Macaca fascicularis: one gene and its partner. The protein of the gene in region 1 purifies or fractionates together with the protein of each later gene. This does not show direct contact. Links are inferred from orthologs where the notes say so. Each region holds a gene or a part of one and is shown in the gene's direction. Other genes may lie near its edges.

The links.
Region 2: the proteins of ATP11A (region 1) and TMEM30A purify together in Homo sapiens (co-immunoprecipitation; 4 studies listed by BioGRID and IntAct, with this or other methods). This does not show direct contact. The link is inferred for Macaca fascicularis from reciprocal best matches to the Homo sapiens genes ATP11A and TMEM30A.

The regions. Positions count from the first base shown.
Region 1 is NC_088391.1:103,275,061-103,280,689, forward strand, and holds part of ATP11A (phospholipid-transporting ATPase IH), read left to right. Parts: intron 1-133; coding exon 134-261; intron 262-2,450; coding exon 2,451-2,586; intron 2,587-5,629. UniProt on the Homo sapiens protein: Catalytic component of a P4-ATPase flippase complex which catalyzes the hydrolysis of ATP coupled to the transport of aminophospholipids, phosphatidylserines (PS) and phosphatidylethanolamines (PE), from the outer to the inner leaflet of the plasma membrane.
Region 2 is NC_088378.1:99,839,307-99,845,601, forward strand, and holds the start of TMEM30A (cell cycle control protein 50A), read left to right. Parts: upstream 1-2,426; 5' UTR 2,427-2,458; coding exon 2,459-3,004; intron 3,005-6,295. UniProt on the Homo sapiens protein: Accessory component of a P4-ATPase flippase complex which catalyzes the hydrolysis of ATP coupled to the transport of aminophospholipids from the outer to the inner leaflet of various membranes and ensures the maintenance of asymmetric distribution of phospholipids.

The DNA.
Region 1 (5,629 bases):
TTATATCGTTAAGCTTTGAAAAGTGCTCTGATCTTTCTAGGCATTTCAGAAAGAAAATATATTTAATCAAAAGATCCAGAAAGTTTGTAACAATGCACTGAGGCGCCACTTCCTTGTGTCTTTCCTCTTACAGACTTTGTACGACACCGCGTATCTGACCCTCTACAACATCAGCTTCACCTCCCTCCCCATCCTCCTGTACAGCCTCATGGAGCAGCATATTGGCATCGACGTGCTTAAGAGAGACCCGACCCTGTACAGGTACCATCCTCCACACAGCCTCCCCTGAGAGCACAGAGAATAACCAGGCAGCACTCTGGCAGTTCTTCCAGTAGCCACCTGGCAGACCCCAGTTAAGGGCCAGAAACATTCAGCATCTACTGATACTCTTGCCTGGTCAGGAGCTTCTTTAAACTGGAAGCAACATAGTTCAAAGGGAGACTCTTTAAGCCTTGCTGGATGGTTTACGCTGCATTTGGAACATCTGTGTGGAGCCAGTTTGCACTTTCCTGTGCTTTCTAACAGTCCTAAGGGAGCCGGGGTACCAGCGTCTTCCTCGTTGTGACTCCAGGGAGTCTGTGGCCTAAGTTACCCTTTAAAACCATGTGTGTTCCATTCAGTGAGAAAAAAGAAAAATTAACAGCTCTGCTTTCAGGGTGTCTTTTCTCCCAAAAAGTTATATTTTTTTTAATAATATGGAAGAGATATTTTTCTGCTATTTCAGAAATGCCCCCCAAGGTCTCTGGAAGATTCAGTATGTTACTGTTTTCCATGGTCTTTTAAATTGTATTAGTCCGTTTTCATCCTGCTGTGAAGACATGCCTGAGACTGGGTAATTTATGAAGGAAGGAGGTTGAGTGGACTCACAGTTCCACACGGCTGGGGAGAGGCCTCACAGTCATGGCGGAAGGTGAATGAGGAGCAAAGTCACGTCTTACGTGGTGGCAGACGAGAGGGCGTGTGCAGGGGAACTTTCCTTTATAAAACCATCAGATCTCGTGAGACTTAGACACTATCATGAGAGCAGCATGGGAAAAAACCGCCCCCATGACTCAACCACCTCCCACCAGGTCCCTCCCACAACAGGTGGGGGTCATGGGAGCTACAATTCAAGATGAGATTTGGGTGGGGACACAGCCAAACCCTATCATAAATTAGAATTTTGTTTTTCAGATAATTTTACATCCATATGCAGTTGTAAGAAATAATATAGATTTAGATTATATTAAGAATAGATTCCGGCCGGGCGCGGTGGCTCACGCCTGTAATCCTAGCACTTTGGGAGGCCAAGAGGGGCGGATCACGAGGTCAGGAGATCGAGACCATCCTGGCTAACACGGTGAAACCCCATCTCTACTAAAAATACAAAAAATTACCCGGGCGTGGTGACGGGCACCTGTAGTCCCAGCTATTCGGGAGGCTGAGGCAGGAGAATGCCATGAACCCAGGAGGCGGAGCTTGCAGTGAGTTGAGATCCGGCCACTGCACTCCAGCCTGGGTGACAGAGCGAGACTTCTGTCTCAAAAAAAAAAGAAATAATAGATTCCGTGGACCCTGATCCCATGTCTCTCAGTGGTGATATGCAAGAAACTGCAGTCCAGCATCACATCCAATGTGTTGATGTTGATGCCATTCTCCTGTTCCCTTATTCAGATCACGCAGCTTTCCCTGTGCTCATGTACGTGTGTGTACATGACACCTGTCTGTGTGTGTTCAGTTCTATGCAATCTTCTCACATGCGTGGTTCCTGCATCTACCACCACAGCCAAGACCACGCGCTTCCCTGCCCAGGATGCTGCAGGAATCCGTGCATCAGCCTCGCTGCCCTCATCAGAATATTTAGCCATTCTATGGGATCTTGATGGCTTGGACCCAAAAATAATCACTGTAGGTGATTAAGGACGACGATAAAAAATTTGTTGTACGTCTTTAATAATTGGGAATAAATCTGAGAAAACGGGAGAGGATATACCGTTCTAGACATGTATCCAGAAGGAATCCTGCAAATTCTATCTTATTGAACAGGCGTAAGGTGTCACGTCAGGCGTAAGGTGTCACATCAACTGTAAGGTGTCACATCAGGCGTAAGGTGTCACGTCAGGTGTAAGGTGTCACAAGCTCAGTGAATGTCAGGTGTGTGCCTTGTGTTCCGTGTTCGTTACTTTCAGAAGCAACAGCGCATGGCTTGCATCTCTCTGCCTATGACGATATTGCAGTGAATATGAGAGAAAGAATCTAAGCAAAAGTTAGCCAAGGACATGAATGGGTAGTAAAATGCTGGTTGTGACGGACATGCCGCATTTGTGGCCAGAGCACAAACCTCGTGTTTACCGGCCACACACATCTTATCCCATGAAGACAACGTCCAGGGACGGCCACCCCGGAGCCCGGGGGCGGCGCCGAGCCCTGATTCTCGAGGACACACGCTGTGCACTTTTCTCCTCACATAGGGACGTCGCCAAGAATGCCCTGCTGCGCTGGCGAGTGTTCATCTACTGGACGCTCCTGGGACTGTTTGACGCACTGGTGTTCTTCTTTGGTGCTTATTTCATGTTTGAAAATACAACTGTGACGAGCAACGGGCAGGTCAGTACGGAGCTCGAGCGCGCCGACTCAGCTGCTCGGGAATAAACCCTCCCAAGCCTGTATGATGATTTTGTCAAAGCAGTAATTCAGTGCAGCCCGCGCAGCTTCCCAACGGGGTCGATCGCCACATGCACGTCGCTCCGGGTCGCATTATCTGAGTGCTCAGTGTCACTGGAAGGAAATGTCCTACTGAGGTTTTTTGTTTTTTTGTTTTGTTGTTGTTGAGACAGAGTCTCGCTCTGTCGCCCAGGCTGGAGTGCAGTGGCCGGATCTCGGCTCACTGCAAGCTCCGCGTCCTGGGTTCATGCCATTCTCCTGCCTCAGCCTCCCGAGTAGCTGGGACTACAGGCGCCCGCTGCCTCGCCCGGCTAATTCTTTTGTATTTTTAGTAGAGACGGGGTTTCACCGTGTTAGCCAGGATGGTCTCGATCTCCTGACCTCGTGATCCATCCGCCTCAGCCTCCCAAAGTGCTGGGATTACAGGCGTGAGCCACCCTGCCCGGCTGGCCTGCTGAGGTTTTCAGACTTTATCTCTGTAGGTTACAGTTCACCATCAGCTCATTACTTAGTGGTAGAATTACACAATTTAGACATTGCGTTGTTTTTGGGTTTTATTTTTTGAAACGGAGTCTCGCTCTGTTGCCCAGGCTGGAGTGCAGTGGCGCGATCTTGGCTCACTGCAAGCTCTGCCTCCCAGGTTCACACCATTCTCCTGCCTCAGCCTCCCAAGTAGCTGGGACCACAGGCACCCGCCACCACACCCGGCTAATTTTTTTGTATTTTTAGTAGAGATGGGGTTTCACCGTGTTAGCCAGGATGATCTCGATCTCCTGACCTCATGATCCACCCATGTTGGCCTCTCAAAGTGCTGGGATTACAGGCATGAGCCACCGCACCCGGCCTAGACATTGCATTTTTAATATGAGAATGAATTCCACGTTGAGCCCGTGTTAGATTTCCCCGAGCACCGTACTTAAGTCTGCTTCTTTTGCAATGAAGAGATTTGTAGTTTTCTAGTGAACATTTAGTCTCTGGTTGGTTGCCTAATCCCTGGGGGTTTGTTTTATTTGTATCTTGCTTTTTTTCTTTTTGCCACTGGCTTCCCTTCCCACCCTCAGATAATGACTACCAACACACACGTGGTAAGACAATCGTGGGTTTGTCGTTTCTCTGTGTTTTTGGAGTGCATTACAAATGAAATATTTCTCGAAAATATTTTCAAACGTGACTTCCTGTGTGCTTTGTCGGTGGAAACGCTGTTAGCCGCTGCTGCCCCACGCACCCCGGAGCTAGCTCTGTGTTAGAAGGGGCGTGTGCCCCACGCACCCCGGAGCTAGCTCTGTGTTAGAAGGGGCGTGTGCCCCACGCACCCCGGAGCTAGCTCTGTGTTAGAAGGGGCCTGTGCCCCACGCACCCCGGAGCTAGCTCTGTGTTAGAAGGGGGAGTGTGCCCCACGCACCCCGGAGCTAGCTCTGTGTTAGAAGGGGGCGTGTGCCCCACACACCCAGGAGCTAGCTCTGTGTTAGAAGGGGCGTGTGCCCCACGCACCCAGGAGCTAGCTCTGTGTTAGAAGGGGCGTGTGCCTCCTGACACACATCCTTGCTGTGTTGCCTCGGTTTCCATGTCAGGGTGGCCCATTGAGTCAGGGATGTTTTCTGAATTGACTGGATTGATGGGAGCTTCCCTCGACTTTAAATTAAAAGCAGCACAGGCGTGTGTGGGAGGCCTGGTGGGGCCCCGTGCTATCTGAGAGAGCCGCGCCAGCCGCTGAGTAGATGTCAGAGACCATCCCTGCTTAAAGGCCGCAGGTCTTTAGCCGCACAAGCAAACACCAGCGCTGACCTCGGAGAAAGTCTCTCTTCAGCAGCCCCTTCTGGGTGACTTCTAAACAGAAATCGGCTTTGTTCCCGGTTTAGCCTGACCTCTCTCTCCATGTGTGTTTGTCCCTCAGACTGCTGGGTTCAAACACAGACGTCCCTCTGCGTGTCCTGTGCACTGTCTACCTGCTTTAGTCATTTTCACTTCTCATTACTAAACTCTGCTGTTATCCTTCGTCATCACTTAAATCCGTTTTTACCAGGTCGATCTTGAGAATCCATTCAAATGTTATTTCACTGTTTTAAAAGCTTTAGGTTTTTTAGAATTTATTCTTTGTCTTAGTTTATTTTAATTGAATAATTCCCGAATGCCACCAGGCCATGAATGTCATCATGTTGATTCTTTTGTATCTTTTATGAGATTTTCCTCCGGGTCGGGCTTACGTAAGCATCTTGTGTAGCCCTTAAAAAGAACTAAGACGTAGTGTCCTGAGCTCTGAGACTCCAGGCTCCTGGCAGCCTGCCGTGGCGATAGCAAGTCCCCTTTTTCCCGCACTTGATTTTCCAGTTTTCTCTCACAAACGTCGTCCTGGTTCACTATAACCATCCTTTTCAGCTGGACGTTCAGATCACGTGAAAGCTGAGGAAGGAGCAGTTCGGACAGATCAGACACCCTGTGCAGGGTCAGTTCCCGAGGGGCAGGGCCTGGGTCACACACAGACGTCCAGCATCAGACTTCATGGTGTTGCCTGGTGCGGCCTCTGGGTTGTTGTAATTCTGAATTTCAGCATGAATGTGAAGGTGCCTCCCAAGAGCCCCTGGAGGTGGACTTCAGGGGCGAGGACACTGGTGCTACTGTCCTAGGAGGGCTGCTGGCTGTGCTCCTAAATGAGGTGCTGGCAGTGCAATGCCAGGGGCTTCCTGGCAGGGACTCTGCAGCGTCTCTACCTTGTTGGACCCCTGGAACCCTGACGTGTCCCTGGTCAGCTGTACCTGGTGGTCAGTGGGCACTGTGGCTCTGCTGCCTTTCCTGGAATCTGAGGGTTTCCACAGGCTCCCGTTTCCTGGTCTCTTCTGGCTGTACCCTCCAGCCCCCGGCTACATCCTGGAAGGTACCCTGAGCCCCACAGAACCCGCACTTACCCCCAGCGTGATGCCAGCACTCACGGAACTTGGGGGTAGTCCTAGCGGCTGACAGCCCTCTTGGTCCTTGCATAGCAATTTGG
Region 2 (6,295 bases), on another chromosome or scaffold:
CTCGTGCATTGACTGCATACTTAGAATGTTAATCTGATAGCATTAGTAAATGTCATTTAGCCATACAAATTCCACTTTTACCAAGAATCAGCACATGAACAATCATTTGAACAATGTAAGTGTAATCTAAATGTATCAACATACATACACACAAACACACACCAGTCGCTCCTAGCAATCAGTTTGAAAATGTGTAAATGGTAAACCATTGTGAGAACTATTCTCTTCTGTTGCCCTAGAAATGCTGAATGATGCTTTTTGAAAATTCCTACTTCAGCAGATTAAATGAAAAACCACCTAGTAAGGACTATCATAAAATAATGTGACCAAGAAAATCACAAAATTGTGAGTCCCCTGAGATAATAATGTAGAGCTGAAAAAAATGTTTCAGCTGGGTAAAGATGCATATTGTGGTGGCAGAATACAGTAGTAGAAAATGAAATGGAGGGATATCAAGACATCTGGAAAAGCAATTTCATCCATCTGGACCTCATCTGAAAATGTTAAGTTTTAGAGAAGAATCTCAGGAGGTTTCAGTTCTATAAATGTTTCAGTCAAAATGGAATTTCTAATAAAAAAAGAGACAAGGGATTAACTCATTTTCCTATGAACAAACAAAAATAAAGAAAAAGGAAGCAGATAAATACATCACAATCACTCAGCTCACTAGAACAAAACCAAAAAATGAAGGTAAAATGACCATTTATACAGAGTGCTGGAATAGCAAAATATTAAAAAATGATCAAATTTAGTGGGCATGATGATATAGGCAGAAATGGGGAGGAAAAACCTGCCTTATATGTACTTTTGCAATATGCCCATATTTTGGCATACATTTTTACTAACAGAACTTAGCAAAATAAAAGGATTCCATGACTTCTCCATTAACTGTGATAGATTGTTTCCTATTTGAGCCTGGGGTTGAAGGTAAACTTAACAGATCAAAACAAAATATAGACCTAAGTATGTCAGCAGTGCTAAGAATTTGAGCATGAATGTCATGTAAGAGCAAACCCAAGCAAGTCGGTTATTAGAGGGCAACAAGTATTGTATCACTCTAAACTCTGCCTAGTAAGTATGTGATTGGCTCACATTTTTTAGACTTGTGGTCATTTTGAAAAAAATTTAACTGTAAATTTTTTTTTTTTTTTTGAGATGGAGTTTCACTCTTGTTGACCAGGCTGGAGTGCAACGGGGGATCTCGGGCTCACTGCAACCTTCGCCTCCCGGGTTCAAGTGATTCTCCTGCCTCAGCCTCCCGAGTAGCTGGGATTACAGGCCCGGCCACCACACTCGGCTAATTTTGTATTTTTAGTAAAGACGGGCTTTCATCATGTTGGCCAGGCTAGTCTCGAACTCCTGACCTCAGGTGATCCACCCGCCTCGGCCTTCCAAAGTGTTGGGATTACAGGCGTGACCCACGGTGCCCGGCCTAACTGTAAATTATGAGGACCAAGCACTCCTTATTTTCTCTTTCCTCAGTTTAACTTATTTAAGGCATTACTGCAGACTAAGCCTAAAAGTAATTTATTTTCAAATGATGCGACTTACTCTCTGGCCTAGACTTCAAAGATGTCAGTATAATGTGGATTGTATATAATTGTTTAAATTTTACAAATAACATACGCCTATTATAGAAATTTTGGAAAATACAGAAAAGTGCAAAGAAACAGGAAAAAAAAAATTCCTCCATCCGGTCAACAGAGTTACCATTATTCACTTTTTAGTTCCGCTCTATATTATACTTCTACAGTCGCTACACTACTCTAATATCCTGACTTAGTCACCTTTTACATCACGAGTATTTCCTTGGGTCATTAAATATCTGGCACTTTTAAAGTGTTTACGGGGTATCTTATTTTGTAGTAATGCTATATGTCCTGGTTTTTACAACAGTAAGAGAAAAAGCTACAGCCTATTACAAAACACTTCCTATATCAATGCGCAAAAGAGAAAGGTGGACATAGAAAAGGGGAAAAGTAACGTGAGAATCAGCAATAGAGAAAAAATAAGTGAGAATCGCTTAATTAGAGGCAAGATAATAGGGCTAAGTCACATTATTGATTCTTGACTTTAGGACAAAAGGGGTACATGTTACGCACCTGTGTTCCAAGTTTATAATTGCACCTTGAATAGCGATTTATTTAATTAAACTCGCGGTTTTACAACCTAAGCAAATACTGCTAATTCTCCCCCGACTCAATCCCCCTTGAGGCCGCCTTTTAAATGCTCCGACTCCCTTCAGAGAAACCCTCGAGGTAAAAAGAAAAACCTGTCTGGCAATCCAGACCTGCAGTCGCCACTATAACCAGAGTAGCAGGCAGGTGTGTGCTAACTAAAGCCACGGCCAACAGAGCAAAGATACGCCTACAGCGCAGGCTCGGAATCCCCTAGCTCTAGGGCCGCGCATGCGCCAATGTAGCTTCGCGCTCGGGTGGCTGAGTCCGTCACAGGACAGATGATCAGGGTGCGTCCGCCTTTTCCTTCCCCCTTCTATCCTCCTCCCCTTTCCCCTCCCCTTGTCCCTCCTTCTTCTCCCTCCTCCCTCTCTCCCTCCCTCTGGCGTCTCCAGCCGACTTACGCTTCCTGTCCGCGGCCTTTGGCGGAAGAGTGTCCCGCCTCTTCCGCTCCACAGCGGAGGCGGCTGTGGCGGTGGCCCTGGTGGCGGCGGCGGCGGCAGCGGAGCTCGAGCGGTTCCTGTCAGGGTCAGCCGGCGGGCCCCCTGGGTGGTCCACCTGCAAGTGGCGGAGCGGTGCCCCGGGGATCGATGGCGATGAACTATAACGCGAAGGATGAAGTGGACGGTGGGCCCCCTTGTGCTCCGGGGGGCACCGCGAAGACTCGGAGACCGGATAACACGGCCTTCAAACAGCAACGGCTGCCAGCTTGGCAGCCCATCCTTACGGCTGGCACGGTGCTACCTATTTTCTTCATCATCGGCCTCATCTTCATTCCCATTGGCATTGGCATCTTTGTCACCTCCAACAACATCCGCGAGATCGAGGTGAGGGGAGGGAGCTGTGGTGGGAGTTGGCGTTGCTCGGGAGGACGGTCCTACGCGCCCGCCCCACTCCTTTCCCAGCGCCCTGAAGCCAGTTGACAGGCAGACCCCGCGCCGCCCACCACCCCCTTCCCTCTGTTTTTTCTTTCTCTTTCTGCGGGTTTCCTGAATTTGCAGCTTTGTCCTAGCTTTGTCTTGCGATTTACGAAAGAGCAAATCGACGGGATGAGCTGAGACGGAATGAATGTTTAATGCAGAAGATGGGTCAGGTGGAGAACGCTTCTTCAGTAGGCGGTTTGTGTGGTTCCATGGGGGATTAGCGGGGGTTGTTCACGGAGGTAAAAAGAGAAGTGGGGGCGGGGGCAATTGTAGCTAGGTAGATGCAACCCTGAGTGAATTGACAGGGTCAAAAGTGTCATTACCTTTGTGGGCGTTATCCGAAGACACAGAGATGAACACCTTGGCCATTGTTGGGAAAAGAACCAGAGTCGTAGAGGTATTGACGATTCTAATGTAAAGAAGCTGTCGCATGTTATCAGGTCACGTATGAGGACTTACGACAAATGTGCATAGTACTTTTCATTTTGAGCTAATTCGATATTTTCAGTTGTGGGGCAAGATACACAGGAAAGATAACCTGAAACTTCAATTCTGGTTTTGCTTTTAGGCTACGTTTATTAATGGGCCCTACATTTGCTGGTCTTTTTTTTTTTTTTTTTTTACAAAAAGAGCCAGTGACCACATTCAGGGAGTAAGTTGTCCACTGTCTACCAAACATTTTACTGATACTAACTTTGCTGAATATGTAAGACATGACAGGAAAACTTGGGGAAACATTTCTTTGTCAGAAGCACAGTATCTTTATCTGTAGGGGTGAAGATGGTTGATAGTACACTGTATTAATATATGCTGTATAGGTGTCCAGTATTAAGCATCTCTCATCTTTTCTTGCATATCTGAGAATGTTGTTGTTTTCTAAATCTATTTGAAAGGGCAGGAACTAGTAAGAAGTTCTCTTGATTCCTTCTGTTCTATTTATACACACACACACACATTTTAATAAATATACTTACCTATGTGATTTAATGGGACTTTGAGAGTAATTTTATTTTTAACTACTGAAATAGGGATGGGGTTCCACTTTAATTTGCAGTGTTCTCTCTAAAAGCAAGATTCATGTGTTTTGTAATTCTACAGTGCTTACTTCAGTGTTGACGACAGTAATGAGAATAGTATCTATAGCATAACTAGTTTTAAAATTTTTTACTAAAAATTTATTCTCAATTTAATAACTAAAGAGTTACAGTATTTTTTTCAGCATGTATTTTAGTTTGTTTTATCACCTTAATCTCCCTAATAATCCTGCAAATGTAGTACTTCTTGTTCTAACCATACTAGGATCACACATTATATTAGTATATGGGCAAAGTGGTGTCATGCAAGGAACATGGGCATTGGCTGGGGTCAGGCAGAGCTGGTTTTAAATTCTAGCTCAGCTACTAACCATCTCAGTTTCTTGGAAAATTTCCTTAATCTCTCTGAGCTTCAGTTTCCTGCAAAATAGGTAGAATAATTCATATCTTCTAAGGTGTGAGAATTAGAAGCAATGTAAATAAGATGTCTGGCAGTAGGGATCTGTCTCCTGATCCTTAATCAGGAGATGAGAAAGAGAGAGTTTGAGATTTGACAGTAAACTAGTTAAGAGTATTATAAAAAATGAGACAGAAACTCAGGTGTCTTGACTCCCAGCTTTAAGCTTTCACCCTACACTAAGATCCTTACTGCAATGTTAATAAAGTAGAAGAAAATAATTTAACATCTGAAATTTGAATGATTTTATTTAAACTTCTTAAGATAAGATGAAAATAGCAATAATTTGGAATTGTGTATAAGTTAGTATTTTCAGAGCTCAACTTCCATTAATATTTACCATAGTAGAAAAATAAATGTTTAACTTTTCTTAAAATCTTTGGGTTTTGGAGTAAAATAAGGTTCCTCACACTAAGTAGTAGACAAAATAGAAATTTTTCAAATAGCTCTCATGTGTAATTCTGATTTCAAGTTGCCTGAAGAATCTGCTGCAGCTTAGCCTGGTTAAAAGGGCACTGAAGAGTCAGGGAATTAGGGTTGAAATCCCACCTCTGTCACTCTGTACTTTGTGATCTTAGGTATAATTTTGAGTCCAGTTTCTTTACTTGAAGAACCAAAAGATTCAGATTAAACTGCCTCTAAGAGGCTGTTCAACTCTAAAATTCTATGATATCCAATTCAAATGTGATTTTTAAAAAACTGGATGTGTTTAAATTGTATTGCCTTTGGAGCAAGAGGAAATGAAAACTAAGAATAATTTAGAATTTTTTACTGACAATGAACATACAGTTGTGCAGACAGAATCCACATATGTATTTTTAAAGTTTGGATGCTGGATATATAGAGAAATGCTTCTGAATTGTGTCTGGAGTTATTAGAAAAACCTACGGAGATTCCCCAAACACACATACTTGTTTCCTTCTTGTTCTCTACTCTGTTAGCCACTAGTTGTAATTGGGTAATGAGAAGTTCTTACCAACATTCACTCTCATACTGTAAGTTACTCACACTTTATTTTTTATTTGAGAAAATCTTCATTGCTATATTAGTTCAAATTACTAGGGCAAAGGAGACTTGTCAAATCCAAATGCTTTTGTAATATAGTTTAAAGTGCCAAAATCAAAAATTCAAACTTTTTCAAGTATAAAATCACTGGATTTTTCTCATTCCTGCAGAAATATTGCACTAAAAATTACTACTTTTGAAAAGTGTCTTGGATACCCCTGGAAAAAGATATTTTCACATTTTAATGCTTACATTTGGTAGCAGATTTCCTCTACTTGTTAGATTTATGTATCTTATTTAGTTGGTTTTTAGATTTTCAATAATCTAAATAAAATGAGGCTAATAGAAAATCATAATTCATCATTCATGAGAAAATATTTTAAATATTTAATATCTTCATTTATTATTAGGAGCAAGGAATGAGGATTTCCTTTAATTTGGCAGTTGTGAGTCAGGCACATCTTTCAAAGGCATTAATTTTCTAGTCTAGGGCCCTTGTTGGTGAGACTGAGATGCAGAGGTTACTTGAAAAATAGTGAGGTTATTCTTAACTTTTGTAAAAGTATTTATCAGTGTGAAGTTACATAGTTTTAAATTTATGGTTAAAGTCAGATTAGGTTGTTATTCAGATTAAATTTAAAAACTAAACATTTACTTCGTGTTGCCAAAAGCATTCAAGGTACATTTTCATGAAACCTT